Lonchura striata: one gene and its partner. The main gene of each other region encodes a partner of the protein of the gene in region 2 in a complex. Links are inferred from orthologs where the notes say so. Each region holds a gene or a part of one and is shown on either strand. Other genes may lie near its edges. The genes, in order: TRADD and NGFR.

Region 1 (15,203 bases), on a different chromosome or scaffold from region 2:
ATCAGCACCACTGTGTCAGTCCCAAAAGGTAAACTGTCAGAGAGGTAATAGCTTCATTTTGGGAAGAGCATTGGTACTACTGGAAGGGAGAGTGTAGGATGTGGAGCAGGAATGGAGGAGATAAAACTGCAATGGCACTGATATAGAATGGCTTAGTAAAAGGTGATGGAGCCACATTCTTTGCAGAGATGGTACCTGCATGAAGTCCTGCTTCCTTGGAAGCAAGGGGCAAGATGGAAACAGATTCACTCACACATGAAACAAGAACTGAAAGCAGGAGTCAGTCCTAGGGTTTGGGAGATTTCTCTTGTAAACCATTTTTACCCTAAAAATCAGTGCAGATAAATCCAGGCATGGTTTCAGCTGATGTTTGATTGTCACACAGTGACATCAGTGTCAGGGAAAGGCTCTCTGTAGGTCCTGGCACCTGTGGGACACAGCAGGGTGAGCTGTTCCCTCCAGCCTGAGGGTGGTTAGGAAGTGAGTGAAGGCAGGAGCAGCCAGCTGAGTCTGGTGATTGCTCAGCTCTGTGGTCTGAGGATGGCATTTGATGCTGCAGTGCCCTGAGGGCAGCAGTTCCAAACCATGCTCCACAGGTAACTTGCTGATGAGGAGACTCTTCCAGCATTGTTTTGTTTTCTATAGCTGCAGGCTCCCTTAGGCTGGCAGGCAAGAGTTAATCAACATATTACTGTCTACCACAGATGAGAAAAATGTTGACAATCATTGCCTGAATTTGAGTTTGTCCATATTGTTTGTTCAGTGTCTGCCATTTGTTGTACAGCAGCAATCTTTTGCCCTGTGGAAGACTGTGGCTGTCCCAGGTAGTGGGAAAGCCTTCAGGTGGTGAGAGGTGGGAAGGAGCTATGACAGAGCAGGGCAGAACAGATTCTCTTGCCATGGATGTTCTTTGTTCTTCAAAGAAAGAAGGAAAATAATGTAAAATTGACTTTTCTTTACTTTCTCCTTTTTCTTTAATTGATGTCATGGCTAAGAGCAAAAATGTCTTCCATGTAGAAATATATTGCAGCTCTCCAGGTGATGGCCCTGGACACAGCCTGAGAAGCAGTGGCAGTTTCTGCTTCTATGAGAAGCCTTGCTTGCTTTTCTCCTCTCCCTCATTCTCCCCTAGGGCTCTCTGTCTGGCTGCTTCCCTGTCACAGTCCTGAAGGAAGTCAGGGTGAAAGCCTCTCACCAGTTCACAGGAAGGTAGTGCTATATTTCTGGAAACACAATGAAATAAGGAAAGTCAGAGGTCCATGCTGGCTTCTGCAAACACAGAACCTCTCCCCTGAGCATTTCCACCTAGATGGAAATCTGTGGTGATATTCAAGACTTTACATTCCCAGACACTGGCAGCAGTTTCATACAGTAGCTAAAGCAGGAAAGCCCTTAGCAGTGGCACTGTCCTTTGGGCTCTAGGAGCAGTCCTCAGTGGAATGGAGGCCCAAGAGCTCCTCAGCCAAGCTGACGAGCCCGTTTTCCTCCAGGGCTGCGATCAGCCGTGCTATGGTGGCCTTCTTGCCCTCGGACTGGATGAACCTGAGGAGCATCTGGTAGGCTTGTTCATAGAGTCCCTCTCGGTCGTACTCCAGCGCCAGGTTGTCAATGACAGGGTCACGCAGGGCCCGGCAGGATTTCTGCAGAGAGCGACCCACCTGCTTCCACTTCTTGGACACGGACTTGGCAAACTTCTGGTGGTCGTCGGGTGTGATTGTTCTGTTGTCTGAAAGGGGCAGAGGCCAAGTAAGACACAGAAGTTTCCTGGCTGACGTGATGCAGCTTGGGCCAGTTCAAGGTTTGGTCAGTATTCTGTGGAGCAGGGAGTCTGAGCTCCCTGCCTTGCCCAGCTGTTCCCTTACAGAAATCCTCCCACAACAACAAAGCATCTGGGCTTGCCCCTACCCTGCAAGCTTGGCAAGGCCTATTTTCTTTTTTTCTCCCTCAGAACTGTCCTGTGGTTTGCCAGAGCTGGTTTTTTTGTTTTTTTGGGATGGACACCCTCTTCATTTGTTTTAGCCTTTCAAAGGCCTTTCTGACAAAATCCCCTGTTCCCTATCTAAACATCCTCAAAACACTGAAATGCTGACACGAGCCCTCTCCTCAGCTGTTAAGCACTGGAGACTATACACAGTTTAAGCAAGCTCAGAAATGATCGCTTATCTCAAGCTGATATTGCTGTTGAGACTCTCTGAAAACCCTCTGCAGGGACAGACCCCAAAGCCAGCTGGTGAATTGAGGGAGCCTGGACAAATCAGTCCTGTCTGAAAGCAGGGCTGAGGGTGTCCATGGTAACTCCCCCAGCCTGATCCAACCTACACTATTAACTCACCTCAACCAAGTGACATAGAAGAAGAGAAAAATACTCTATAGTCTTCCTTCCACTATTCATTTTAAAATGTGAGGACTGTGGAAGGGACAGAAACTCTGAAATATGTGGTTCTGTGCCACCCCTGAAAAGAAAACAGGTTGATGCCTGATCTGAAGCATCATGGCAATATCTTAGGACTACTGTAATTTCTTTCTTATGGGATGCTGGGAAGTGCTTTGTTTCTCTGAGGTAGACCCCAATATGCAGTCATGATAATTCTCCCTCCTGGGCTGTGAGTCAGACCAAGGCCTCTGTTGGTCAGCTCTAGCTACTCACCAAACTGCTGTCCCTGAAAGATGAAGGTGAGTTGTATGGGAAGGGAGCCGCCTTGAGGAGGATAAGGCTGAGATGGGGACTGCAGAGACGAGCAGTCTTTTGCAGCCATATTGTTGTTGGTGCTCTGGTGAAGCACCAGGCTCTTGAGGCTTTCCTCCAGCTCCATGATCTCCTCATCTGGCAGGCGGTCAGGCTGTAACACAAACAGCATCAGTGACTCTGCAGGGACACCAGCCTGCAAAGCTGTGCTTGCTGATGCCTAATATTCCTATTGATAGTGAATGCCTGTTTCTCAGGACCATTTAGAGGAACCAGAGCTAAAGTTCCAGATGGAAAAAAAAAGAGGAGGGGAACAAGTCAGTGAGTTTAATCATATCAAGTGCCTTGTCGTGAGATGACAAGATCTCACTGTTCTTGCAAGCAGGATTAGAGTGCCAGTGCCAAAGTGTGCAATGAACCAGAAGTCAGATGAGAGAGACTTTGCCTTCAGAAGGGCAGCCTACTCTTGCTGCCAGTAGATGCTGTGTGTCCTCTGACACAAGTTTTTGTGATGTGCAGTGTTTGCACTCACTTCCACTGCTCATTTCCAGGTGCAGTTACCTTTGCCACTCTGGGAGGAGGTGGTGTGTGAGGCAGGGGAGGGAGGTGCAGAGCAGTGATGGTTCCAGCCAGGGCTGCTCCTCTCTGCCTGCCTCACAGCTGTACTGAGGACACTTGTGTGTAAGCTGCACTGTCTAGAACTCCTTGTCTTAGTGGGGATAACAACCACGCTAGCTGTTATACACAGAAGGCACAGAGAGTTAGCAGGCTCTTTGCAGGCTGCTTTAGGTAACTCTATTGCCCTTTTTTCTGAGGAAGGGCAGAGCTATTTCTCCACATTAGAGTTAAGATCTAAAGGACTGAATGCTCCATCAGAACAAGACTTGCACCCACCTCTGCAAGCCCAGTGCCACCCCTCCTCATTGTTTTCCAGCCTCTCTCCCTCTCTCACTCACCTTTTCTCTGTAGATGCACTCCAGGCAACGATCCTCATCCTTCAGCATCTTGTCAAGGTGCTCACTGCCAGCCTTCAGCTCCACTTCCAGAGGCACCATGGTTGTGGCCAAGCAGAGCTGGAGGTGACTCTGGAGGGACTTCTGGAGTGCTCCTTCGCGGTAGCTCTGCAGGAAGCGGCGGCAGTTCTCCTCCTTGCAGAACCTGAGCTGGACTATCAGGTGTGGGTGGCTACAGTGCACCTTGAGCATGTCCACACCATTCACGCTGCCAGTGGAGTCTGGCAGGGAGAAGGGAGCACAGTCACAATCCAGGCATGAGCCAGCCCACACAGACCCCACCCATCCACAGCAAGCCTGCAATAGAGGAGCTTTTGCAATCTCTTTGTGATAAAGTCCTCTGGGATGGAAAAATGTGTTAAACCAAGAGGGAAAGATTAAGTTCATGCTGCCCTGCCTCCACTGATCTCCATGAGTATGGTGTCCAACATAAGATGTATGGAACTACATCCCAGGTAATTATATCAATACTGCCCTAATAAGGGCAAGTTTTAAATTTGAGGTTCCATCTCCAGGACGGAGATAGTTATGATAAACTGGTAGCATACAAAAGTTTTATAGATGAAAGCTCAGTTCACCTCAGTGCTCAGTCAGCCTTCAGTCTTTGTGACTGGAGTTTTATGCAGTGATGGAGGTCCTGGAAAGAAACTCAGTGTTTCCTCTCCACCTGTGCCTAGAGGTAACTTTTGTTTTTCTGAGCCTTTAACATGTTTCACAAACAGCAAATGACAGATCCTGCCACAGGGGTTAAGCTGCTTGAGGTTGGGCCTTGACTTGTTATTTTGCACAGAAAATTAATTAATGGTAAAATCTAAACAAGGAGAAGCCAGGGATGTACCCTGTAACATTAGTGCAGGAGGAGCACAAGCGATGTGGAAACAGAAAATGCCAGGACTTAATTCTTCCTTCTCCCAGCAGAATTTAATTTTTATTAGCTGTGCTTATTATCCTTATCTCCACAGGATTTTACATGCTGCTGATGAGTTCTAAGTATGTGTTTTTCTCTTTTTTTTGCAGCAGAGGCCTTTGTGAGGCTGCTGTACTACTTCCAGACCTGACTGCACCTCATGGGCTGTCACTGAGAGCTGTATGGAGACACCAGCTCACACTGGCCCTACATCAGGTAAATACCTAAACTACGTGTCATGGCATGGAGGACAATCTTAAGACAAGGCAGACTTGTGTGCTCCACATTAAGCAGGGCAAGTAACCTTGTATTTAAAAGTATAGTATCTAACAGTGGCTTTACATGTTTACTAAGTCCTGTTTGCATCTGGTCTAGTTTGGACCACATGTGTAACTGACACATGGGTTTAGGCACCTAGAAAAGATATTTAAATTCACTGTGGATGATTTTTTATCATTTCCTTCATGCTTTGCTTTTTATGAGTGCTTATTAAACAAAACTTCCATAATAGGGCAAGAGGGCTGTGGAGGGAAAGCTGCACAGACATGGAAACCCTTATGAAGAGTGTACAAGACAGCTGTAAAGCAGCCTCAAAAGATGGGACTTTGCAGGCACTTCTGCATGAAACCTCGGGCAGCTTAAGATTTCATGTCCTTTTCAGGTCTGAATAAGCATGATAGGATTTCAGTTTTGTGAGCTGTCCTTTAAATGTGTGAGTAGATTCACATTTCAGTGCCACAGAGCAGCAATAAATCAAGCCTAACTGGACAACTGTATCAGGCTGCCTGCTTCCTGTTTCCTGTATTTGGAATGAGCTGCAAAATGAGCAGGCCTGTATTGGATAAACTGACTTGGCATGGTTTCCAGAAGAAACTGCAGAATAGTTAGACAAGCCCAATTAAACAATAGAGTCTCAGCTGTGTAACTGTGTAACCACTGCGAGTCTTCCTAGGTAAGTGTGATAAACTCTTCAAATTACTATCACCCTGCAGTGTGCTTGGTCAAGGGTGGATAGAGAAATATATGGTTTTACGGCTATTTGCATATCAAGTAATTCTTTTATGTAAATAGGGTTACATACACCTCAAGCTAATGTGTGTCTGCTTATATCAGAATCTGAATTTGAATTATATCAGAATTTGAATAGAAATTAATTTATACTGGCTATTACTTGATTTAAAAAACAGCTTCTCAAAGCAGAAATCATGTTTCTGTGGTGCTATAAAGACAGCAATTAAATCTTCTTTCACAGCAATTGCAATCTTTTCCCCTGTTACATAAATGGGTTTAAACAAACATTCATAAAGTTTGATAATTCACAGGATGGTTCAAGTTGGAAGGAAGCCCAGGAAGTGTCCAGCCCAAACTCCTATGCAAAGCAGGGTGAGCTCTGAGGTCAGAACCAGTTGCTCAGGGCTTTATCCAGTCTGTCTGAAAGCCCTTGAGGATGGAGAGTACACAGTCACTCTGGGCAACTGCTTGACTGTCTTAATGGGGGAAACATTTGTTCTTTTGTCAGGTATCTACCTTTCATTTCAATTTGTGCCTCTTGCCTCTCATTCCCCATGCACCACTATGAACAGTGTGGCTCCATCTCTCCCTCCCATAGGTATCAGCAAGCTGTTGGTAGGTCCCCTGAAACCTTCTCTTCCTCAGGCTCAACAGGTCCAACTCCCTCAGCTTCTCCTCATAGCAAAAGTACTCCAGCCCCCAGCCATCTTGGTGAACCTGTGCTGAGCTTGCTCCACCTCATTGCCTTTCCTAAACAGAGCGAGCATGAGCTTTCCTTACCCGTGAGGGTGAGATTAAAGAAAGGCATGGCACTGCACACCAAGATACCAGAGGATGGGTACCTGCTAACGCCAGCTTCAGGGCCTTGAACACACAAGGCTTCTTCTGGGAGCTCTCGTAGAGGGACGGCAGAGCGATGGTCTTGCAGGTAGACTGAAGGAAGAGGTAAGCACTGCCAGTCCAAGGAGGGGAGCTGCCTGCCATCTTCAGCACCCTGCAAAATCACACAGGCAAGCTCAGAGGCCATAAGGGAAATGTCCTGATGCCAGGAGAATGTTATAGCAGAGGCACAACAGCTTATGGGGATATTCTCTTACTTCTTGGAGCAGTGCTGATGTTGCTAAAGCAAGTGTAGCCTTTGAGGGGTTTACTGTTATTCTGTAAAGCACACCACAGTGGGACACCATATCCCAAAAAGAGCAGCTCGCAAAGCTTTGCTTTCATTTTCCACTGCAGTCCATTCATTTCGAAGTCCAAAGGTACTCTGAAGCAGAGTTTCAGTCCGTGTGCCTCTGACTAGCCAAGCTGGCAAAATGTGAAATGATTGAAGCACTCCAGGGACCACCCAGCAGTCCTGGCTGTGGCATGCTCCCATGGACTGAAGCTCTATTGCAACCAGAGACGTTTTCCTTAAGGTCCTGGTGGCTTGGTTGTTCACAGGGCCCAGAGCTCTTGTAACAGGATACTCTACACAGGCAGGACAAGGGTAATAGGTTTAAACTAAAAGAGGGTAGATTTAGATTAGATATCAAGAAATTTTTTATAGTGAGGGTAGCAAGGTACAGGCATAGAGAGGTGGTGGATGCCCCATCTCTGAAAATATTCAAGGCCCGGTGGGATTGGGCTCTGAGAGACCAGACCTAGTTGAAGATGTTTCCGGTCACCGCAGAGGAGTCAAACTGGATGGCCTTGGAAAGGTTCCTTCCAGCCCAAACCATTCGGTGATTCTGTAGCTCGGGGTACCCCTCTGCTTTGTTAATGCCCTTTGCTCTTGTGCCTCTGCAGTGTTAACCCAGCGGGTCTCTTCCCGTCCAGCGAGCACTGCCCCGTCCCAGCCCCCGGCCAAACCGCTGCGGGGTGCTTCCAAAACCAGCCCCGGACCGTAAGTCACGTTTGCCATCACGGTCATTGCCTTTTCGCTGACTTCGGCAGGCGTCAGGCCGCCGCTGCTCAACTCCCGTCACAGCCGGGCTGTGAGGGGGCTGTCCCAAAGGGAAAAGCGCCGGAGCAGCCGCCGGCTCCATCCCGCCGCGCTGTGCCGCCCGCGGGCCCGGCGCTGCCCGGCTGCCCGCTCGGTGCCCGGTGTGCCCCCAGCCCGGCACCGAGAGCCCGCAGCGGCCCCTCCAGCCCGGCCCCTCGCTGTCCCGGCGGGACCCCCGCCCCGGCCCGGCCCGGCCCGGCGGCGTTACCTCCTCAGCGCCGGCCTCGGCCCCACACTTCCGCCCCGGCGCGGCGCCGCGGCGGGCGGGGAAACGGGAAGGCGAAAGTAAATCCCAACAGCCCTTGGAATGGCCGGCGGCGCTTCCCTCCGGTGCCTGCTGATTGTCCGGGCCCGCCCCGGGGGCAGGGGCTTGCGGACACCTTGACGCCTCAGGTGTCCCCGCCGCAAGGCCGCCCACACAGCTCGGTGGCTCTGGTGCAGGTGAGGGTGTGACATCTGTCAGAAGCACTCCGTGCAGGTGGCTCCAGAGCTGCCCGAGGGATGCCATGCACGGATCTCTCTGGACCATTAGGGATGGAGGCCAGTGCGGTGGCTTGAAGCCCCTGCGTGCCTTGTGGCTGACACACGGAGGCTGCAGTTGTCAGCTTTTCCCCGTAGTGCTGCTGGTGAGAGCTTGGATAGGTGGAGAGAATGAAGCAGCATTTCCCAAGTCCACGAGAGATTCTGTGCCAAAGCATGATTTGGGTCTCCTTTGCTCCTCAGGTAGCAGCCTCCTGCCCAGGCTGCATCTGCCTTGCACAGGTGCCCTGTGAGCTGAAGGATAACAGCAGCTCCCTTGTTTGTCCCCAGCTGGTGAAAAGCTGGCATGGGCCTGGGGCCAGATTTTGGGCTGACGTGCAAGCTGCAGGCACTCTGGCTTGGCAGTGGTTTGTGCAAATTGGGCGCCTGAACTGCTAAAAAGAGCAGGAAGCATTTTAAAACACTAAAAATACCTATATATCTGATGCTATTTTAAAACAACGGCATTTTAACAATAAACCTAATTCATTTGCTAAAGCAAAGATGTGATTCAAATAGAACTGTAAAGAGGTTAACCTAGGCTAGATCTCCTGGGTGCTCTGGTTCACAGGGTCAGATCCAGGGGGGCAGGCAGTTTCCACAGACCCCTTCAGGGTCAGCAAGCCTGATGGGGCCAATGCTTCTGGAAACAAAGCATTTACTTGCTAACAGTTTTAGCAAATGAGTTCATACATTTAAAGGTCTGTCTGATAGGGCTAAGTGAACTTGAACATCCCAACATTTCACTATAAAAGCCAAACCTGAAGCAGTGTTGGCTCCCAGAACCAGGTGGGAACTACAGTGTGACTGCTGTGGGGAGCATCACTCACCCATGTCCTGGAAATGTTCTCTCCTTGAAGCCAGTCTGCCTTCTGTATATTGTGGGGGTAAAAAAAGAATGGCTAGCTGCGCCCCAGGTTTCTCCTCTGCTGACCCTTGCTGAGTGTGTACTTTCTGGGAGCATCCCTTGGGGCTAAATCAAAGTGCTTGATGAGCACTTGGAGTTTCATCTTGTTATTTCCCACTTGAGAAGTAAAGATGGTAGTGAAGGGAGAGGCTGTGGCTCAGTGGGGCTCAGCTGGCACAGAATTGGGGTGTCAGGGTTCAGAGGCAAGTCTGCCTGGGGGGCTGGGGCTGGGATGGGCCAGGCTGCCCTGAGCTGGCAGCAGTCAGAAGGCTACAAGCACACTCTTACTGTCTGTGAGATTTATGATCCTTCTTAATGGCTCCAAAGGCTTTAAGGAAATCATAAAACAAAAGGAGCTGAATATGAGATCTCATTTTGCTGTAACACTTTGGCTGATATGTGTTACAGACAGTATTAAAAGCAGCTAAAAGTAGAAGAACAATGTCCGAGCTGTCAAGGTGATTTTCAGAGAAAATGGCAGAAGATGCTGAGTTCCCAGGAAGGAAGCAGGATGGTGTCACTTGGTGCTGTAGCTGGGCTGGGTGGGAAGGGGGTTGTCGCTGATATGATGGCAGATAAGATAGCACAGCTGCTGTGCTGCTGCCACCTCACACTCCCAGTAAGGAGTCACGCTTCAAAGCAGCACATTCTAGAAAAACGTGCAGTTGTGTTCCCCTCTGCGTTACGCTTTTTGCGTTGCTGCTCCGTACTTGCTTCATGGGTTTCAACTCCAGCTCTTCTTTGAGGCTCTTTTGGTGCACAGGTTTTTATTTAAATGAAACCTGCACTGCTGAGGGAGTGCTGTGACTCTGGGACCTGGGGCTTCCACAGCCCCAGAGAGGGTGTGCCATGAAATTCAGAGTGAGACTGTGAGATCAGGCCCACACTCCAGTGCTGGCCTGGGAAGGGAAATATTTGCTTTTAAAATATGAGAGGGCTGAAAAAACATGTCATGGTGGGAGTGTAGTTTGTGCAGAAATCTAGAAGAGAGGTGCAACACATTTTGGAAGAAGGCAAATGGAAAAGTTAGGTAATGATCTGATGCTCTAAACCTTCTTCCCAGATACTTACTCTTCTGCATTATAGTTCACAGGAAAGGTTGATTAAAATACATGTTTCCCTTATTGTGTCAGACATTTTAAGTGCAGTTTCTGCAAATTGGAGTCAAAGTCAAAAAAGGATTTTTTTCCAAACTGCAACATCTCATCCCAGGCAAGGACCACCATCATTAAGCTGCTGGTTTCTACTCTAGGCCTTCTGTTGCACTATCAGTAAAAAAATGGATATGTAAGGCTGTTTTCTGTGCAGAGCTTCTGCTTGCAAAGAGGTTTTTCCCCCACAGTTTGAGAAATCTGTCTCAGCTTTTTGAATACCAGTGCAGCAGTACCAGAAAATTCCCTTGCATTTTTATTACTCAGAGTAGCAAAACCTCACTGTAGGAAAAAAGACCATTTTTTCCCCAAAAAGCTTTCATCTGACATTTTTAACTCTTGAAAAGTATCACTCAGCTTCTTAGGATTAATTGAAAAACAAAAACAAAACCAAAACAAACTGTGAAACAACTGACCAAGAGATTTTCATAATTTTTAAAGTTCAAATTCAAAATATAGTGAAATTTCAAGTTTGAAACCTCTGTAGTCCAGTTTGATTTGTTTGTTAAATTCTAATGTGTGTGGCCCTTTTTTTTGTTGCTGTTGTTTTATTTTTCTCAATTCTATTGAGAATTAATTGCAGTTTTGGATGTTTTCCCATATTCATACCTGACTGAATTGTTAAAATATCTGCTCCAGAGCCAGAACTGTGGCGTTACATCCCAGAAGAAATCCTTGTTTGAATATTGTATTATCTTTCTCTTTGAGATGGACACAGAAACTTCCAGGTACGCAGACAGGGGGCTGCAGCTGTTCCTTCCAGCTCTGTTTGGCACTTCATAGAGGTCAGGTGAGAGAAGTGGGGTCCTCTGCCCAAGCACCTTTGCAGGAATAGCCTGATCCTTGTTTCCAGTGCGTGTCAAACATCTACTCCACTCTTCCATGGCACTGCTGACCTTGTGACTTCTATGTGTGATGATTTTACCTGGCATGACTAGCACCTGCTTATATAAAATTTGTGTCACTTGCTGGTTTTCGGTTTTAGGGGAAATACCACATTCTTAGTACACTAAGTTGCCCTTTGAAAATGACAAGAAAAAATTAATGCACTGTTATCCTGACACTAATCTTGTCTCTTCTCACCTTCTGACTCTTTCAGTGTTTGGCCTTAAAGGACTCTGTAGGAATCAGGTGAGAAATCTGTTCCATTTTTTAGCAGGAATGTTGAGCTTTGCAAGTTTTTGCTAAGGACCTCAGAAAAATTTAATATTGATTTTATATTTTATTATGTTATTTAAAGAGCAGTTTCTGAGTTGAAATTACTCTGGCATTAAGCCACACATGTATTTAGAGCTATTTAAGATTTTATATTGAAGATAAAACCATATTGTCTAATAGACTCTATGTGTAGCTGTTTTTAGCATCCTGTTTTCTCATGCAAGAGCTAAATAATTTCTGTTGACAAATAAGATAGTAGCTAAACCTGCTTACACTTTTGACTTTTCAAAGTCTTGCTGAAGATGTACAGCCTGGGTCTGGCCAGCTCTCCTTCGTCTATGCCAGCCAAAGTTTAGGACAAGAAAATTACAAACTAACAACTCAGGTGCCTTCAGCCACCTGGGATGTCTGTGCCTGGGTGTCCCACAGACTCTGGGCAGGTGGGTTTGCTCTGGTGACTTGCCCACCTCCCAGCATAAGGTGGGCAGCACGTGTTCCCTTTGCATGACGCTGCGTATTTATTCACAGCTCTGCGAGATCGGCTGCAGTGCATTTTCATTCTGTGCATTGTTCTCTGGGGCTGGTGATGCCATCCCATTGTGCTGAGTTTTTAAGAGTGCGAGCAGCACTGCTGATGTGACTCCCTGGACGCCTACTTTCCACTGGCCTGGGATAAAATTGGGTGGCTCATTCTCTGCGGGACGCGGGCGCGTGCAGGGACGCAGGCGCGCCCAGGGCAATGGGGTCAGTTTAGCTGGGACACTGCAAAGCTATGCAGGATTCACCCAGCTCTCTGGTGATGGATGGATACTCCAGCAATGTCCCAGCCTTCCTAACAAAACTCTGGACGCTGGTGGAAGACCCTGAAACGAACCATCTCATCTGCTGGAGTTCTGTAAGTACAACAGGTATCGGGTGTCACTAATGCCTGCAACAACAGGGAAAACCCAGGTGTGAGGCCTGAGAACTGCACGGCACAGGAGCTGCCCTCTGCTTGGCAGGTGCTGCCCTGGCAGAGTGCAAAAACAGGATACAAGAACAGGCGCTTTTGGATATACTTGGTATTATTTATCTGAAATATCATGGCATTTCTGTTTCAGAGGGGCAACTGTTTCGTGGGTGTTTTAATGATGATATTTACACATTTCACTTGAAACATCCTAAAAAGTGTCTAATTTTCTGATTCTAAGAATTCCACATGCTTTGAGAGAAATATTTTTCACCTTGCTTGAATCTGCAGCTCCCTAACATTTTCTAGGAAATATGCAAAACCCTTAAAAAGTTTCACTGCTGTTTGGTGTTATCTCATATGTGCTTCTTAGCAGCTTCTCACAAATGTCTGGGTGGAAGGCAGCAGATAAAGAGCACTCAGAACTCAGATTCAAACCTGTAATTTAAACAGATCTCAGACTGGCACCCTGAATTGTTTTGGAAGAGCTTTACTTGATTTTTCAATGAGTCTGTGTGATGATAAAAGTGATGTGGTTATATATTGTCTGTACAGCTTCACGGGGATAGTTTGCTTTGCTTTGGCTTCTTATTTTTCACAGAGGCATTAATATACTAACTGCAAGCACAGAAAAAAAATATTTGTCCCCTTTATACAACAATTGATACCACATTGTGGTTTTGACCTACAACTTGCTGCAAGTAATATGATTTGTTTTCAGCAGGGAGTTATTAGATAAGCTATGTACTTAAACTTGTTTTCCAAAATCAAGAATCTAACAAAAGCAGATTTAAAGAGAGGTGGTAAAAATGTCTAAAGCAGCCTTTCTTTTATATACTTTGTGTACAGTAGACTTTTCATTCCAAACCTGAGACAGGATTTCAGCTGCATTGATATCTGTGACCATGGTTGTTTGATGCTGGTATTACATGGCCATACCTCTGAGAACCACCAAATTTTAAATTTTAAATAAGGATTTTAAAGCTATAAATAATTTTCTAACCTGTGTAAATAGTCCCCTCTCTGTTATACTTAGAACACTGTTATTTTACATTGACCATCACTGTGCTTTGATTTCCTGGAAACTAACATGCAGCTATATCCTTGGAGGTTTTGGTTAGGCTTTTAGGTGTCTAATTTTCCTGTTGTTGCAGGTATCCGTGTTTCGCATATTCTTCAGCTTCTATATATTGGTGATGTTGGAGCTGAGAGATTGTGTGTATGCCTAAGATTTCTGGGTGTAATCAGTAGTTCTAGAAAACAGGACCCATAAGGACCTGTGAACTGTTTCTTAGGATGAAGAAGAGATGGAGAGGAAATGCAGTAATGGTTTATATATACACTAAAGTCTGTTGTGAGGTGGAAAGGAAAACTCTGCTCTCTGTGTCTGTAGTAGATTGGACAAGAAGTAATTAAATTCATTTTTTAAATGGAAATGCAGTAAGAGAGAACTGGCAAATTCCTGGACTAGCACTTGTCTTGTCAGAGCACAACATGCCTGTCCTGGTGGTTCTGTCAAAAGCAGTTGAGATAAGCATCTGCCACGATTGTTGTGCTGCAGAGTCAGTTTTGCTTTGGGCAGAGAAGACTTCCAGAGTTTCTCTGAGTTTGTGCTCCCATGGTGTAAAACAGCCACGGCACAGCTGCAGTGTGGGAACAAACTGACACATGTACAGTTCACCGGTGAGCACACAGTAACCCCAAGACCTCTTGTGTCTGTAGGAGCCTTTCTGAGTGTGCCAGCTTCTGAGAACATTGTGGCCCTGAATTCAAAGGAATGGCCTCTCATGAAAGGCCATAAGGACTTGTTAAGGTATACAAAACTCTTGTGCTTCTCATTTTCCATCAGTGGGTCCAGCCTGGGACACAAAGCTGTATCCCAGAGTAAGGAGGCAGAAGCACAGGAGAAGCAGAATAAACCAGCTCTGTCCCCAGGGCAGTGCCTGCAGTTTTGGGAAACCCTGGTCCCTGCTGTCCTGTCGGCAAACTCTATCTGTGAGGATAATTCCAGCATGCAGGCTGTCAGTGAATCTTTGAAGTGCTTGATCAGCCTTTGCTTCTGCTGCATAGGGTAAGGAATGATAGGAAAGACCCCAAAAATGGTCAAAGAGCACTGCTGAGGCACAGTCATGTTCAGTGTTTGCAGTAGTAAGCAAGGAGCAAGAAGTGCAGCTGACCCAAAGTCCCATGTTAGTGGGTGTTAATTGTTAGAGCTGCAAAATGAGCCTGAGCCAGAGGCAACTGGCACCATTTGGTGATGGAAATGCAGTGTAGGACAGCAGGGTTTGCCAGCTGGCTGTTTTCTGGTGGCCATGGGCAGGCTGCAGGTACACACCAGCCCCTCTTTAGTCACTGAGCTGCACTGGGATTGAGCAGCCCTGATTGCACTCCCTGTTTTAGAGACTTCCAGACTTCCCTGAGAGCACCCTCACAGCTGCAGCCCCCCGATGGGTGCGAGGTGGGACTCACACCACTGGTACCTCCTACTGCACACAGAGCCTGAGGGCTCTTGCAAAACACTGTCCTGTATCACAAACCAGCCCCTGGCATGCCCAGCCAGGCTGACACACCTCTGTCTGATGTAATAGCACTGAACACAGCAGGAGGATGACTGTGGTGTGCTGGTCTCAGACCCCTCCCTGCCAGCATGGTGCAGGCCCTGGTGTCTTTAGCTCTTGTCCCTTGAAACTCAGCTGCAGCTGAGGCAAGTCCCCCCTAATATCTGCTGATGTCATTGTAGCTGTCAGCAGGTAGAAGGCCAGGCAGGGAAAGCACATGGCCTGCAGTGCATCTTCTCTGCCAACAATCCCAGGCAGTTTGCCTTGTTTGGCAGTCATGGATCTTTGCAATGCAACCCCAGAAATGGAAGATTTATCTGATTAACATGTGTGTTGCTAGCTTGGACTGCAAAGCGTGATTGT
Region 2 (15,269 bases):
CAGGGGGTTCCAGAAGGATCCAGGGGGTTCCAGAGGGATCCAGGGCCACAGGGGTCCTCTCCCCATCCCAGCAAGGGATGGCTGCTGTGTTTGCAGGTTTCCTTTCCTCCACACCCAAAATCCCTCTCAGGGAAGAGATGAGGGTGGGGAGGAGGTTTTCTCTTGGTGGGATCCATCCCTTGGTGGGATCCATCCCTCACATGGATCCGTCCCTCTCTGGGATCCATCCCTTTCTGGGGTCCATCCCTCTCTGGGGTCCGTCCCTCTCTGGGGTCCAGCCCCGTTTCCCGGCCGGGCTCAGGGAGGCAGAGCCGTCCATCGATTTCTCAGGACGCTGAGGTATTTTTAGCCCTGCCCTGGCTCCTCCAGCCTCCTGTGCCTCCTCTCCACTCCCTCCCAGCCCCGCTCCAGCCCTGCCCCTCTCCCATCTCCTCCCGGAGCAGCCCTGGCTGCTTGCAGGGCTCAGGGAATCCGGGAATATCCCAGTCCCGAGGATCCTCCCGTGCAGGCACCATCCCGACCCCCTCCCGGTGCCTGGCAGCGCTGCCCAGACCCCGCTGTGGGGCTGTGCCCCTCCCCGTGCCCCAACTCCCATTTTGGGGCAAGAATCTCCCGTTTTAAGCAATCCTGTCCCCAGAACCCGGCCCTGGCTCAGCGGAGGGGCGGGCCGGGATCGCTGCGGCGCTGCCCGGAGGGAAGGAGGGATGCTCGGGCAGGGCGCACGGCCTTGCCCGGGGCTGGGGGCACTCACTGTCCAGGCAGGGCTCGCAGACCGTCTGGTTGAGCCCGCAGGGCTGCACCACGCCCTCGCCCACGTTGCAGACCCGGCAGCACTCCCCGCTGGCCGTGAACAGCTTGGAGAAACAATCGTCCTTGGAGGCGCCGGCGGGGCCCTGGGGAGAGCAGAGCCGGGAGGTCACTCCTGCCGCCCGGGGGATGGGACAGCCGGGGCCGGGCCCGCTCCGGGGACACCCCGCTCGCGCTACGTGCAGATCTGGGAGGGAAAAGCGCTTTTCCGGGCAAAATTCACTCCTCGGGGAAAGCCCTGCCGAGTTGTGCGGCTGGAGGGAGACGGCGGGGCGCCCAGGGGTGTTTTGGGGTGCTGTGGCCTCGGTTTGTCCTTGTCGCTCCTCAGCCGCCTCCCCCGAGGGCTCTGCGCCATCCCGGGGGGCTCGGCCCTTCCCAGCCTGGGGAACGGGAGAGGAGAGCAGAAATTCCTGCCTCGGCGGGGGCTCTGGAGAGCCTGGCTGGCACCGCTGCCCCCCAAAACCCGCGGGCACCGGCAATGAGGAGCTGAGGGAGCGGCAGGACCTCGCTGTGCGCCGGCACCGGGTGTCCCTGCTGGCACAACGTGTCACCACCCCCGAGAGCCACGAACATCCCACGGGCACCCCCACGGGCCCCTCTGCAGCCCGGGGAGGGCCGAGCTGCCCCCCAAAACCCAGGAACCCCGTCCCGCAGGTCCCAGCGCTCCTCCCGCTCCCGCTGGCCGCAGCCCCGGGGCCGCGCCGTCCCTTGGCCACCCACCCACGGCTGATTTTGGGGAAGGGGGGAGAGGCTCGGGGGAGCATCTGGCGGCCTCGTCAGCGCCTTGGCCGCGTCCCCGCGCTCGGTGCGGCGCTCGGAGCCCCGCGCCGCATCCGGCGGGGCCGAGACAATGGAGCGCCAATTCCAGGCAGCTGAATGACAAAGTGCTCCAATTACCCTGCGCTGCGAGGCGGCCGCTGCCCCTCCCCGCCCGGCTCCGCCAGCCCGCTGGCAGCCCCTTCCTCCAGACCCCTTTTCCAGACCCTTTTCCCAGGCTCTTTTTCCAGAATATTTTTCCAGACCCTTTTCCCAGGCCCGTTTCCCAGACCCTTTTCCCAAGCCCTTTTTCCAGATCCTTTTTCCAGACCCTTTTTCCAAGCCTTTTTTCCAGACCCTTTTACCAGAAGCATTTCCCAGGCCCTTTTTCCAGACCCTTTTCCCAGAACCTTTTCCAGACCATTTTTCCAGATCATTTTCCCAGAACCTTTTCTAGACTCTTTTCCCAGACCCTTTTCCCTCTCTGGGTGGGCAGGAGGGATTGGAATATCGGGAATCCTCCCAGTACCCCCAAATATCCCCTGGGAAGGGTTTGGGGTGATGCCATGCGCCGCTCGTGGGGGCACATTTGGGGATTTTGGCCGCAGCTCATCCCGCTGCTCCATTCGGGCAGGGTTTGGGGAGCTCACGGCTCCCTGGGAAGTGATTCCAGAGGCTGGGAATGGGGCTGGGGCAGCCGGGCGTGCCTGGCTGTGACTAGTGACCGGGATGGACACGGGGGCATCCAGAGCTTCCAGGGATCCCAGAGCTTCCAGAGCTTCCAGGGATCCCAGAGCTTCCAGGGATCCCAGAGCTTCCAGAGCTTCCAGGGATCCCAGAGCATCCAAGGATCCCAGAGATCCCAGAGCATCCTGTGATCCCTGAGCTTCCAGGGATCCCCGAGCTTCCAGGGATCCCAGAGCATCCCCTGATCGCAGAGCACCCCACAATTCCAGAGCTTCCAAAGATCCCAGAGCATCCAGAGATCCCAGGGATCCCAGAGCTTCCAGGGATCCCAGAGCTTCCAGGGATCCCAGATCTTCCTCCAGTCTCAAAGCTTCTAAAGATCCCAGAGCATCCAGAGATCCCAGATCTTTCCCTGATCCCAGATCTTTCCCTGATCCCAGACCTTCCCCGATCCCAGCCCTTCCCCGATCCCAGACCTTCTCCCAATCCCAGACCTTCCCCCAGTCCCAGACCTTCCCCAATCCCAGACCTTCCCCTGATCCCAGATCTTCCCCCGATCCCAGCCCTTCCCCGATCCCAGCCCTTCCCCGATCCCAGACCTTCCCCCAGTCCCAGACCTTCGCCGATCCCAGATCTTTCCTCGATCCCAGCCCTTCCCCAGTCCCAGATCTTCCCCGATCCCAGCCCCTACCCGATCCCGGATCTTTCCCCGATCCCAGCCCTTCCCCGATCCCAGATCTTCCCCGATCCCAGCCCTTCCCCGATCCCAGCCCTTCCCCAATCCCGGCCCTTCCCCGATCCCAGACCTTCCCCTGATCCGCGATCTTCCCCGATCCCAGCCCTTCCCCGATCCCAGCCCTTCCCCGATCCCAGACCTTCCCCCAATCCCAGCCCTTCCCCAATCCCAGCCCTTCCCCCGATCCCAGCCCTTCCCCGATCCCAGCCCTTCCCCGATGCCAGCCCTTCCCCGATCCCAGCCCTTCCCCAGTCTCCCATTCCAGCTCCCCCACGCCGCAGGCAGCTGCGGGCGGTCCCGCGTGGGCCGGGCCTGGCCGGGCCACCGGCTCCGCTCCCGGGCCACCTGTCCTGTCCCCTCCCGCCCCCGCGCCCCGAGCGCTCCCAATTCCCGGCTCCAGGTGCCGCGGGCCCCTCGCTCCGGGGCTTTCCCGAGCCCCCCGGCCGGGCACGGCACCTGGCCCGCGTTAGGCTGCGGAAACGCGCGCTGTTAGCGCGGCTCCCGGTGACAAAGCCGCGGCTATTAACGCCGTAAAGCATCCTGACAGCTGGCCCGGCCCGGCCGCGGCCGGAGGGCGCAGGCGACACCTCTGGAAGCTCTTAATTGCTTTTTGGAGCCGTGCCGGGGGGGTCGGAGCCCGGGCAGGCGCTGCCGGGGGAGGACAGAGCCGCTCCGAGCGGGATTTCGGAGTCTGGCACCGCGGAGCGCCCGGCACCAGGAGGGGATGCTCCAGCTGGAGACGAGCCCGGCTGCGAGACGCGAGCCCGGCGGGCGCGCTCTGCCTCTCTTGGCCGAGCACCGCGTCTGGGAGAGGCCAAATCCCGGCTCCCGGCGCCTCCCGAACTTTGGGCAGCTCGGGGAGCCGCGTCCGAGCGCTGCGGCTCCGGCCGGCCCTGGGAGGCTCCGCCGCTCCCGGGCCGAGCAGCGCAGGCACCGAGCGGCGAGCGCGGCGGGCCGGGCTGCGGGGTCCCGGGCTGCGGGGGCTGCGGGGGTCCCGGGCTGCGGGGATCCCGGGCTGCGGGGATCCCGGGCTGCGGGGGTCCCGGGCTGCGGGGGCTGCGGGGTCCCGGGCTGCGGGGGCTGCGGGGGTCCCGGGCTGCGGGGGCTGCGGGGGTCCCGGGGTGCGGGGTCCCGGGCTGCGGGGGCTGCGGGGGTCCCGGGCTGCGGGGGCTGCGGGGGTCCCGGGCTGCGGGGGTCCCGGTGTGCGGGGTCCCGGGCTGCGGGGGTCCCGGGCTGCGGGGTCCCGGGGTGCGCGGAGCTGGGGGAGCACAGCCGGGGTCCCTGTTGTCCCCCCCCAGGAACACTCCCAGCCCCGCAGGTGCGGTCCCGGAGGGCAGAAGCAGCTCCCCGCGGTGACCCCGGCGCAGGGAAGCGGCGATTTGGGGACATCAGAGCCCGGCCCCGCTGCAGCAGCCGGGGAGGGGCGAGAGGGCGATGCCCTGGGGGGGGAATGGTTGGGATCCATCTGGCTGGGACAGCTCCGGGCCCCCCCGGCCGCTGTCCCGCTATCCCGGGGCGCTTTGGCCATCCCGATCCCGATCCCGGGGGGCTGTGGGGGAAAGGACCCCCCGGCACGGCGCTGCCAGCCCCGCTCCGCTCCTGCACGGAGCCGCTCAACTCCGCCTTTAATATCCTGCCCGAGGGGTGTCCGGCTGCCTGACGGCCCCCCTGGGACCCCCGGCAAATCCTGCCCCCCAAACAGCCCCGCTCCTGCCCCAGCTGCGGGCTCGGAGCCCCCCGGCCCCACTCCGGGCACTCCCCTCTCTGCTGGCCCCCCCACCCCAGCCTGCCCTGAAGTTTTTTGTCTGGGGCACACGGCGAGGGCTCTGCCGGGAGGAAAAGGCTCTCAGCCTCAGCTGTGGGGCACCTGGGAGCCGGGAAAGTCTGCGAGAGGTTGCGGGGGGTGCGTGCGGGGCAGGTGATGAAGGCACTGGGGGGGCTCCCCCCGGGCTGGGGCTCCGTCACTCTTTGCAGTGGCAGAGCTCGGGGCAGCGGCACCGGAGGGGCTGCGGGACCCCATCCCCACCCAGCTCCCCACGCCCCCTCCCACCGCACCCCAAAGAGCTCTGCTCGCCTCCCCGGGGCTCTCCGGTGCCCCCGGGATCCTCCAGCCCCGCACGGCGGGGACCCCGCTCCTGCCTGTGCTGTCCGCTGCCCCTCACCCGCGGGGCTCCCACCCCGGGGTCCCCGGGACCCTCCGGACACCCCCGTGTGAAGCCTCCGGGCCCCTCCATCCCACCCCCGCCCGGTGCCTCGGGGCTGTCCATCCCCCGGTGCCTCCGGGGACGCTCCCGGTGCCCCCGGGACGCCGCATCCCCTCCCCGCCGGGGCTGTCGGGGCTGCCCCGGGCGCCGCTCCCCGCACTCACCGCCGGCAGCAGGAGCAGCAGCAGCGGCAGGAGCCCGGCCATGGCGGGGGCAGCGGAGCGGGGCCGGTGACAGCCCCGGAAGCCGGAGCGCGGCCGGGCTGCCCTGGCTCTGCCGCTCTCCGCCGCGGCGGCGGCCAGAAAAGAGCTGCAAGTCCCTCCTCCTCCTCCCCCTCCTCCTCCTCCTCCTCCCCGCCCCCGGAGCATCACGGAGCGGCCGAGCCCGCACCCTCCGCCGCCGCCACACAAAGCCCGGTTCCCCCGGGCCCCCCCGGTCCCCCCGGGCCCCCCGGGCCCCGCCGCCCGCCCACGAAGCGTTTCTGGGGCGCGCTCGCTCCCAGCCCAGCCGGGGCTCTTCAGCCCATCCACGGCTTTGCCTCCTGTGCCGTCTGCCCGTCCTCCAGCCCCCTCGGCACCCCCTCCTCCCCCGGTCCGTCTGTCTGTCCCCGGCCCCGGGGTGGCGTCACCGCTGCCATCGCGGCCCCAGGGGCGGGATGGGGTGACCAGACCTGCCCCGGCTGCTGGGGACAAGGGACAAAATCCCCGGCCCGGGGACACCCCGGGCCCGTCCCAGCCGGGCGGTGTCACCCAGAGGCCCCCGAGGGGGGCACGCGGCGGGGACTGAATCAAATCTTTGTATTTCTGCCCTCCACACAAAGAAATCCCATCTGGGCTCCCCGTGGGCCCTGCAAGGTCCCCGCGTGCCGCCCTCCTTTGTCCCGGCGCCCCAGGGTGACTCTGCCTGGCCTCCTGCCCTCGCCGGGCCCGCAGTGCCCGCAGCTGGCAATGCCAGGGCTCCTTCCCCACCCCGCAGCGCTGCGTCAGCCCCGGGCACGGCTCCGCGGGGCCACCCAACCGCGGCACCGGGCACCGGTGCCACCGGGAGCGGCCCCGCCTCGCTGTCGCTGCCCCGGGCTGGCTCCTGCGGCCGCGGTGGCCACGGCACAGCGGATTTGGCCTCGTGTGCGTCCAGCTCCAGGTGTTTCCTCCCCGCTCCGGGCTCTGCAGGTGCTTTTGGGGCTCCCAAAATCCAGCAGTTCCCAGCCCTGCAGCCACCGGAGCCCCGAAATCCCGCGGGTCACGGTGGGAAAGCGCCACTCCGCTGGATTTCCTCTGGAAAAGCCAATTCTGGAGCCTCCGAGGTGCTCAGGGCCGGCTGCTGCCGCTGGCTCAGCCCGGGAAGGGCTTCACGGAATTCCCTCTCTCGCAGCTTTTCCGTGGGATTAAAGCCGAGCCAAAGCTGCCGTTTGTTCTCGTCACGGGCAGAACATCTGCGAGCCACATGGAGAAGCGTTCGCAGCCAAAAAAGCCACGCTGGGGCCAGGTGGGAACGGGCTGGGAGGTGCCCGGGGGCTGGGATGCCCACCCGGGGGCTGGGATGCCCACCCAAGATTGGGATGCCCACCCAGGATTGGGATGCCAGCCATAATCCCAGCGTTTTAAGGGTTTTTTCTGGGATCACCGATGACACCGCAGCCCCAGTGGAATGGGAAGGGGTGACCGAGCTTCCCCCGGCTGCAGGGGACAAAGGGACACCACCCTTGGGGACATTCCCGGGAGCAGACGCGAGGCAGGGCTGGCACAGCAGGGAGCAGCCGCGGGATCCCGCAATTAATTCACCGCAGCAAGTGGCAAATCCAGATGTTCTCCTCGGGCCCTTGGATAAATCCCTCCTCCCCCTCCTCCTCCTCCTCGTCCTGCCCGTGCCGGGGACACCGAGCTCGTGGCCCGCGGTCCCCGAGCCCCGTCCCCGCCGCCGCCGTGTCCCGGTGGGAGTCTGGGGAGCATCCCGGGAAAAGCCGCAGCCCTGGCAGAGCCCGTCCCGCCCAGCCGGGCTCCATCTGCGCCGGGCTGGGAGGGAAAATTCCCGCTCCCATCCCAGCCCCCGCGGCTCCTCTGGAGAAGGGACTCGCGGAATTCTTCACCGGATCACACGCGCCTCCTTTTTCCCGTCCCCAAAACAGCTGTGGCGCTTTCCCGGCTCCGTGAGTGACAAAGAACCTCCCGAAGTTCTGGTGTCACCTCCTGGAATTAAACCCAAAGGCTCCGGGGTTTTTTTGTGGGGGGGGAAATTGAACTCTTGCAACCCCTAAAGCCGCCCCAAAATCCACCCACCTGCCACTGGCTCTGGGGTGGGGCTGATCACTGTCCCCAAAAGCCTCGTGGCCATCGGGGGGGACCCAAAATCGGCTCCCGGTGCCAGCAGGGCACGGCGGGGCGGTGCCAGGGCTGGGTCTGTGCACTGGGAGCAGCTCAGGGAGGGCTCGGCCCCGCTTTTAATCACAAAAAAATCCTTCCATGGATTTTACAGGATTTCCCCGGCGGCTCCCGAGCTCCCCTCAGGCTGACGGGGTCACGCATGCAGAGGCTCCCATGCTGGAGGGAGCGCGGAAAGGGCGGGATTAATTAGCGAAAGGGCAATTAGAACTGGGTGAAACATCGCGTGCAGCCCCTCCCGGCCCCGCAGCGCTTTCACCCCCTCGTTATCTCCCTTCGGGCTCCTCCAGATCGCCCGGGGGGCTCCAGGGGATGTTTCCCCTCTCCCTCCACGCCGGGGGGCTCCGAAAGAGCCCCCAGAGCGAGCCCGGCTTAAACACTCGGGGCCTGCGGAGGTTTTACGGCTTTTACTCCAAACCGGGTGAAATTCCCTTCCCGACACAGCCGATTCTGCGGTGAGGGCGAGACAGAAATGAGGATGAATTAATAACACAGCTCGGAAGTTATTCCTGTAGGAACGGGGCCAGTTATTCCATGGAAATGGGGCCCAGTTTTTCATGGAAGTGGGGCCCAGTTATTCCCTGGAAATGGGGCTGTTATTCCTATAGGATGGGGTGAGTTATTCCCATGGAAATGGGGCTGTTATTCCCCATAGGGTCAGTAATCCCATGGAAATGGGGCTGTTATTCCTATAGGATGGGGTCAGTTATTCCATGGAAATGGGGCTGTTATTCCCATGGAAATGGGGCTGTCATTCCTACAGCAATGGGGTCAGTTATTCCATGGAAATGGGGCTGTTTTTCCCATAGAAATGGGGCTGTTATTCCCACAGGGATGGGGTGAGTTATTCCATGGAAATGGGGCTGTTATTCCTATAGGATGGGGTCGGTTATTCCCATGGAAATGGGGCTGTTAGTCCCACAGGGATGGGGTCAGTAATCCCATGGAAATGGGGCTGTTATTCCCACAGGGATGGGGTCAGTTATTCCATGGAAATGGGTCTGTCATTCCCACAGGGATGGGGTCAGTTATTCCATGGAAATGGGGCTGTTATTCCCATGGAAATGGGGCTGTCATTCCCACAGGGATGGGGTCAGTTATTCCATGGAAATGGGACTATTTTTCCCATGGAAACGGGGCTGTCATTCCCACAGGGATGGGGGTGTCACCCCAAAGCCCCGAGCTCCCCAGCGCTCCCCAAGCCCCCCAAACGCGGCTCCCGTGCCCTCGGGGGTCCCGCTCTCCTTTGGGATTGTCTCCCGCTTTCCAGGCCGGCGGTTCCTGCCTCCATCCCCGTCCCTGCCCCGCTCCGGCAGCTCCCGGCCTCCCCCCTTCCCTTTTTCCCTTTCTTCCCGTGTTTCGCAGCGCGATCCATCACCCTGCCGGCAGCAGGGGGGACTGGGCATGAATCTCTCCCTGCTCCGCGGGCCCTTATAAGGCCGGCCTGGAGGAGCGGCCGGGAAAGCCGAGCCGGGCTGGCAAAAACAAAGCCCGGAGAGAAAGCGGGGCCCGGGCAGCCCCGGGGAGAAAATCCCGGCGGCGGGGGACGGGCAGGAGGAGGCACGGGCCACGCCCGGCAGCGGCAGCGGCGATATCGATGATCGATCGATCCCCCCGCGCCGGGGCCGCTCCTCCTCCCCGGGCCGGCTTTGGGGCCCATTGATCCCGGGGTTGGTGCTGATGGATCGGGAATTCCGCTGCCGGCAGCGGAGTGTCAGCGGGGACGAGCCGGCCGAGAGATTTTTTATCTTCCTCGGCTCAGGGCTGCGCTTTTCGCTGCGTTTGGTTTTCGTTTGGGGGTGGGGATTTGTTTTAATTGACTCGGTGCTCGGCTGGAGTAGAAGGAGATAAAGGTAGAATGGAAGAGGGATGAGTAGAACGGAATAGAGATGAAATAAAGATGAAATAGAAATAAATTAGAAATAAAATAGGAAAAAAGAGAAAAAATATAGAAAAAATAGAAATAAAATAGACATGAACTAGAAATAAAATAGAGGTAAATAGAATAGAGATGAATAGAATAGAGATGAATAGAGATGAATAGAGATGAATAGAGATGAATAGAATAGAATAGAATAGAATAGAATAGAATAGAATAGAATAGAATAGAATAGAATAGAATATTACCACTGGAAGGGCCCTAAAACAACCCTCTAATCCCACTGTGCAGCCCGGAGGAGATCCAGTGGATTTTTGGGCTCCTCCCAGCCCACTCCAGGCCGGGATGTTCTCCATTGCCTGCCCGCTCAGCAGTGCCTCAGTTTCCCCTGTGGAAGCGGGGGTGGGATTTTCACCTCCGGGTGGGAATTTCACCTCCGGGTGGGAATTTCACCTCCGGGTGGGAATTTCGCCTCTCCAGAGCCTCTTCCCAGCAGTGACAGACGCAGGAGCGGGGGGAGCTCTTTTCCCAGCCCGCCGAGATGATGAGGGAATTTAATTGCTGCCTTCATCCCTTATGCAAATGAGCCGCGAGCACCTGCGGGAGCGGAGCCCGGCCCCGGCCCCGTGTCCCGGCACATCCAGAGGGATCCTGGGGCCGCTCCCTGCCCAGCTCAATGACCCCGCTGCTGGTTTTATTTTCATTCCCGCTGCTGGTTTTATTTTCATTCCCGGGTTCCCGGTGGGGATCGGTGCAGGGAGGAGCCCGGGGAGGGTTCGGCCGCTCCGGGAGCCGGGCGCGAGTTTGCCAAGGGCCGGGCAGCCGGGATCGATCGATCGGGCCGGGATAATCGCATTGGGACGGGCAGCGCTGTCTCGGCCCCGCTGGAATTCTCCGAGCCAGCAAACAGCCAGGAGGAAATTGGGTAAAAGCGATTTTATCCGATTGTAGCAGGGATTTAATGAGGGCCGGGACGTGACAGCCACGGGGAAAGCGGCCGAGGGGAGGAGGGCCTGGAGCAGGGAGAAGCTCCTGGGAGCACCCAGGGGTGCCTGGGGGGGTTTAAAGAGGGATCCCCGGTGGGAGCGGAGCCGCGCCCTGGCAGTGACGGACGGGCCGGGGCCGCCTCCCCGCCGAGCGCCGCTCCGGGAAGCGTTCGCAGCTCCCAGACCGGCAGCGCCGGGATTTGCTGAGGCCGCTGGAGCTCCCATCTTCCCTGGAACCCATTTCCACGGCATGAATCACCCAGCGGAATGAACTCAATTAGTCCAGACAGAGCAGGAGATAAATCAGGGTCCCATTAGGAAAGCTGGAGGTGATTTATGGCCCCGAGCGGCAGCGCTGCCTGCCTCCCTTCCCTGCCCGTCTGCAACCTGCTCCGCAGCCGCGCCGGGGCCCGGATCCTCTCCCGGGGCCGGGGATCCTCTCCCGGGGCCGGGGATCCTCTCCCGGGGCCGCGGATCCTCTCCCGGGACTGGGGATGCTCTCCTGGGACTGGGGATCCTCTCCCGGGACTGGGGATCCTCTCCCGGGGCCGGGGATCCTCTCCCGGGACTGGGGATGCTCTCCCGGGGCCGGGGATCCTCTCCCGGGACTGGGGATGCTCTCCCGGGGCCGGGGATGCTCTCCTGGGACCGCGGATCCTCTCCTGGGACCGCGGATCCTCTCCCGGGACTGGGGATGCTCTCCCGGGGCCGGGGATGCTCTCCTGGGACCGCGGATCCTCTCCCCAATTCCAGCTGCTGGGGTATAGAAATCTGCAAATCTGGGCTGGAAATTCCCCGATTCCAGCTGCTGGGATATAGAAATCCGGAAATCTGGGCTGTGATTTCCCCGAGTTCAGCTGCTGGGGGCTTTGATCCGTGCCGAGCTCCCCGGGGCTCATCCTGACTCATCCAGGGGCGCTCCTGGGGGGATTGGATCCCCCTCAGCAGCCGGGGATGAGGGGAGGGGGCCGGGAAGGAGCTGGGTGGGCTCCTCCAGGGAGATCAGCCCGGATTTGGGGCGTCACCCTCCCTGGGGAGGTTCTGGTGCTGGGTCTGTGCTCCGCGAGCCGATTTTATCAATCATTTGTCAATCAATCATTCATCAATCGCTTATCAATCGTCATTATCAACCCAGCTGCTCCGGGCTCCTTCCAGCCGTGGGAGGGGCCGGGGTTTGCCGGGCCCGACAATTCCCGGGGCAGCGGCGGCTCCGTCCCCGCCGAGGGCTCGGGGGCAGCCCGGGGGCTCCCCCGCATCCTCAGCCGGCGTTTCCCAGGGCTCAAAAAGGATTTTTGCCTCCCGGGCAAAACCCCTGCCCGGTGCTGGCCCCGGGAGCCGCTCCGAGGGCTGGGAATGCCCCGCGCCATCCGCAGCTCCTTCCAAAAAACGACCAAAAACAAAGTGCCGGGGGCTGCTTTTCCCCAGGGACAGCTCGGGTGCGGGGCTCCATCTCCTCCGAGTGACCCAAGGGTTTGCCCGCAGCCAAGGGCAGCTTTTGGGGGACACAAACTTTGCCCCAGGGGATCCCTTCCTGCACCCCCACCTCCAAAATTGCCTTTTTCACCTTCTCCCCCCTCGATTGTGCTCCGGGCGCGGCTGGACGCGCCCCTCCCCTTCCCCAGGAGCCGCCGGCCCGCCCTGCCGGGAGTCAGCGGGGAATTGGGGGATCAACGGCGGGCAATTAGCGCGCCCCGGAACCGGGCGGGCGGCGGGGAGGTCCCGGCGGGGCCGCCGCCGGTGCCGGGGAATGGCAGCGCTGGGCCGGAGCCATGCGGGAAGCGAGGCCCGGGGAGCGCCGCGGGCGCGTTTGGCACGGAACGGCCCCGGCCTGGCAGCCGCCAAATGGAAGCGCCGGGGGGGCCCAGACAGGCCCGGGGCCGGAGAAACCTCCCGGGGCCACCGAACCCCCCGCGGGCCCGGCAGCGCTGCGGAACGAAGAGGCTGCGCTGGGGGGAAGCAGGGGATGGGAGCCCCCGGGAGGGAGCCCCGATGTCTGTGAGCCCCGATGTCTGTGAGCCCCGATATCTGTCACCCCCCATTATCTGTGACCCCCGATATCTGTGAGCCCCGATATCCGTGACCCCCATTATCTGTCACCCCCAATATCCGTCACCCCCGATATCTGTGATCCCCCCCGATATCCGTGACCCCCATTATCTGTCACCCCCGATATCTGTGACCCCCGATATCCGTCACCCCCATTATCTGTGACCCCCGATATCTGTGATCCCCCCCGATATCCGTGACCCCCATTATCTGTCACCCCCGATATCTGTGACCCCCGATATCCGTGACCCCCATTATCTGTGACCCCCGATATCCGTGACCCCCCCGATATCCATCACCCCCGATATCCGTGACCCCCGATATCCGTGACCCCCATTATCTGTCACCCCCGATATCTGTCACCCCCAATATCTGTCACCCCCCGATATCCATCACCCCCGATATCTGTGACCCCCGATATCCGTGACCCCCATTATCTGTGACCCCCGATATCCGTGACCCCCCCGATATCCATCACCCCCATTATCTGTCACCCCCGGTATCCGTGACCCCCGATATCCATCACCCCCGATATCCGTGACCCCCGATATCCATCACCCCCATTATCTGTCACCCCCGGTATCCGTGACCCCCGGTATCCGTGGCCCGTCGCTCCCTGCCCATCCCGGCCCGTTCCCAGCCTCCCCCCGGGGCTGTGCCCGGAGGCAGCGGGGGCTCGGTGACCCCGGGCCGGCTCCGGCTCCACAAAGCCCCGGATTGTTCCCCCCGGCGGCCGCCGCTGCCCCTGCGGACACCGGAAAACGGGGGGGGGGCGTTTCCAGGGATTCCTGCGGGCCCGGGGGTGCCCCGGGCGGGTCCCGTGCCCCAGAGGGTGCGCATCCCGGGGGGCACAGCGTCCCCCGTCCCACGGATCCCACCCCAGGGATCCCACCCCATGGATCCCATCCCACCCCAGGGATCCCACCCCAGGGATCCCACCCCATGGATCCCATTGATCCCACCCCACGGATCCCACCCCACGGATCCCACCCCATCCCATGGATCCCACGCCATGGATCCCACCCCACCCCGTCCCATGGATCCCACCCCATGGATCCCACCCCACAGATCCCACCCATGAATCCCACCCCACCCCGTCCCATGGATCCCACCCCATGGATCCCACCCCACCCCGTCCCATGGATCCCATCCCATCCCTCCTGCCCAGGAATGAGCAGGGACAGGGACAAGGACAAGGACAGGGATCGGGATGGGGATCAGGATCGGGACAATGACAGGGCCAGGACCGGTCCCGGGGCGGGGCTGTGACCTTGGCCCGGCCCTGAGCGGGACTCGCCCCTGGCCGGGGCCCGATCGATCCCGGGGCTCGGAACGGGCTCAGGAGGGACCCGCCGGGGTCACCCGGCCGCGGACGAGCACCTGGGACTAATTGCAGGGAATAAATGAGCAATTAAGGGCGCTAGGGCAGGGCTGGAACATCCCAGACCTCCGGCTGACCCCCGGGCGGTATCCCTGGAAACGGCCGCACCGGGATCGGGATGCTCAGCCCGGCCGGCACCGGCGGCACCGGGGCCCTCCGAGCCCCCCCGGCGGCGGAAGCGGCTCCGGCCCCACCGGCAGCTGGGGCGGCCGCACTGAGGCGCCTTTGTCCGGCACAGGGCTGGGTTTACCCGGGGAGAGAAGGGTTTGTCTTGGAGCAGGCAGGATTTACCCGGGGAGGGCAGGATTTGTCCCGGGGAGGGCAGGATTTATCCCGAGGAGGGCAGGATTTGTCCCGGGGAGGGCAGGATTTGTCCTGGGAGGACAGGATTTGTCTTGGAGGGGGCAGGATTTATCCCGAGGAGGGCAGGATTTATCCCGGGAGGACAGGATTTGTCCCGAGGAAGGCAGGATTTGTCCCCGGGAGGGCAGGAATGGAAGCACCGTTAAGGGCCGGTAGCACCGTGGAGAACCGGGCAGCCCCGGGCGGGCAGAACGGGCCGGTCCCGCTGCCCCCGCGGCGCTGCGGGCACCGCCCAGCCCGGCACGGGGGGCTCCGCTCGGGGCTGCACCCGGGTTATCCCCGCTGGCACCGGGGACGGTCCCGCTGCTCCCCAAAACCTCCGCGATCCTCCCACCCACCCCAAACCTGGCCCGCCCGGGGGTCCCGGTGCCCGCCCGGGGTCCCGGTGCCCGCCCGGGGTCCCGGTGCCCGCCCGGGGTCCCGGTGCCCGCCCGGGGGGATTTTTGGCTCGCCCGGGGCTGGCTGAGCGGAAGGCAGGCTGGCTTTTAAAGCAGATTAATTAAGCTGCACTGCGGGGCCAGAGCTCAGAATGCAAACAGCCGTAATTCGATTTCTCTGACTTGCAAATCGCGGCAGGGAACGCGGCCGAAATCACATTAAGGCCGTTTCCACCCCGAGCCGTGTCCTCGCAGGGCTTTAATGCAGTTTCACTAATTGAATTTCAACGCTTATTGAGCTTAATTCGGGTTTGTGCCGGGCGCGGGGCTGGGCTGGGACCCCCCGGGCTGGGCTGGGACCCCCGGGAAAGGCTGGGCTGAGACCCCCGGGAAGGGCTGGGCTGGGACCCCCAGGAAAGGCTGAGACCCCTGGGACCCCCAGGAAGGGCTGAGACCCCCGGGAAAAGCTGGGACCCCCTGGAAATGCTGGGCTGGGACCCCCCGGGCTGGGCTGGGCTGGGTTGGGACCCCCAGGAAGGGCTGAGACCCCCGGGAAAGGCTGGGCTGGGACCCCGGGGAAGGTTTGGGACCCCCAGGAATAGCTGAGACCCCTGAGACCCCCGGGAAGGGCTGAGACCCCCGGGAAAGGCTGGGCTGGGACCCCGGGGA

What was found.
Region 1: the proteins of NGFR (region 2) and TRADD are in contact, whole or in part, in an NMR structure (PDB 7CSQ), measured with the Homo sapiens proteins. The link is inferred for Lonchura striata from reciprocal best matches to the Homo sapiens genes NGFR and TRADD. Residues at the interface, in NP_002498.1 of Homo sapiens: Glu345, Glu346, Glu348, Lys349, Leu350, Asn352, Gly353, Ser354, Ala355, Glu379, Ala380, Cys381, Arg384, Glu420; in NP_001310481.1 of Homo sapiens: Thr201, Phe202, Asn211, Ala275, Glu276, Arg278, Arg279, Thr281, Gln283, Arg284, Glu287.

The regions. Positions count from the first base shown.
Region 1 is NC_134615.1:15,184,965-15,200,167, reverse strand, and holds the start of TRADD (tumor necrosis factor receptor type 1-associated DEATH domain protein), read right to left. Parts: upstream 7,928-15,203; 5' UTR 7,807-7,927; intron 6,612-7,806; 5' UTR 6,602-6,611; coding exon 6,460-6,601; intron 3,921-6,459; coding exon 3,643-3,920; intron 2,841-3,642; coding exon 2,648-2,840; intron 1,727-2,647; coding exon 1,419-1,726; 3' UTR 1-1,418. Other genes in the region: HSF4 (heat shock factor protein 4), read left to right, coding at 12,106-12,228. UniProt on the Homo sapiens protein: Adapter molecule for TNFRSF1A/TNFR1 that specifically associates with the cytoplasmic domain of activated TNFRSF1A/TNFR1 mediating its interaction with FADD.
Region 2 is NC_134627.1:7,914,237-7,929,505, forward strand, and holds the start of NGFR (tumor necrosis factor receptor superfamily member 16), read right to left. Parts: upstream 5,453-15,269; 5' UTR 5,397-5,452; coding exon 5,355-5,396; intron 894-5,354; coding exon 752-893; intron 1-751. UniProt on the Homo sapiens protein: Low affinity receptor which can bind to NGF, BDNF, NTF3, and NTF4. Forms a heterodimeric receptor with SORCS2 that binds the precursor forms of NGF, BDNF and NTF3 with high affinity, and has much lower affinity for mature NGF and BDNF.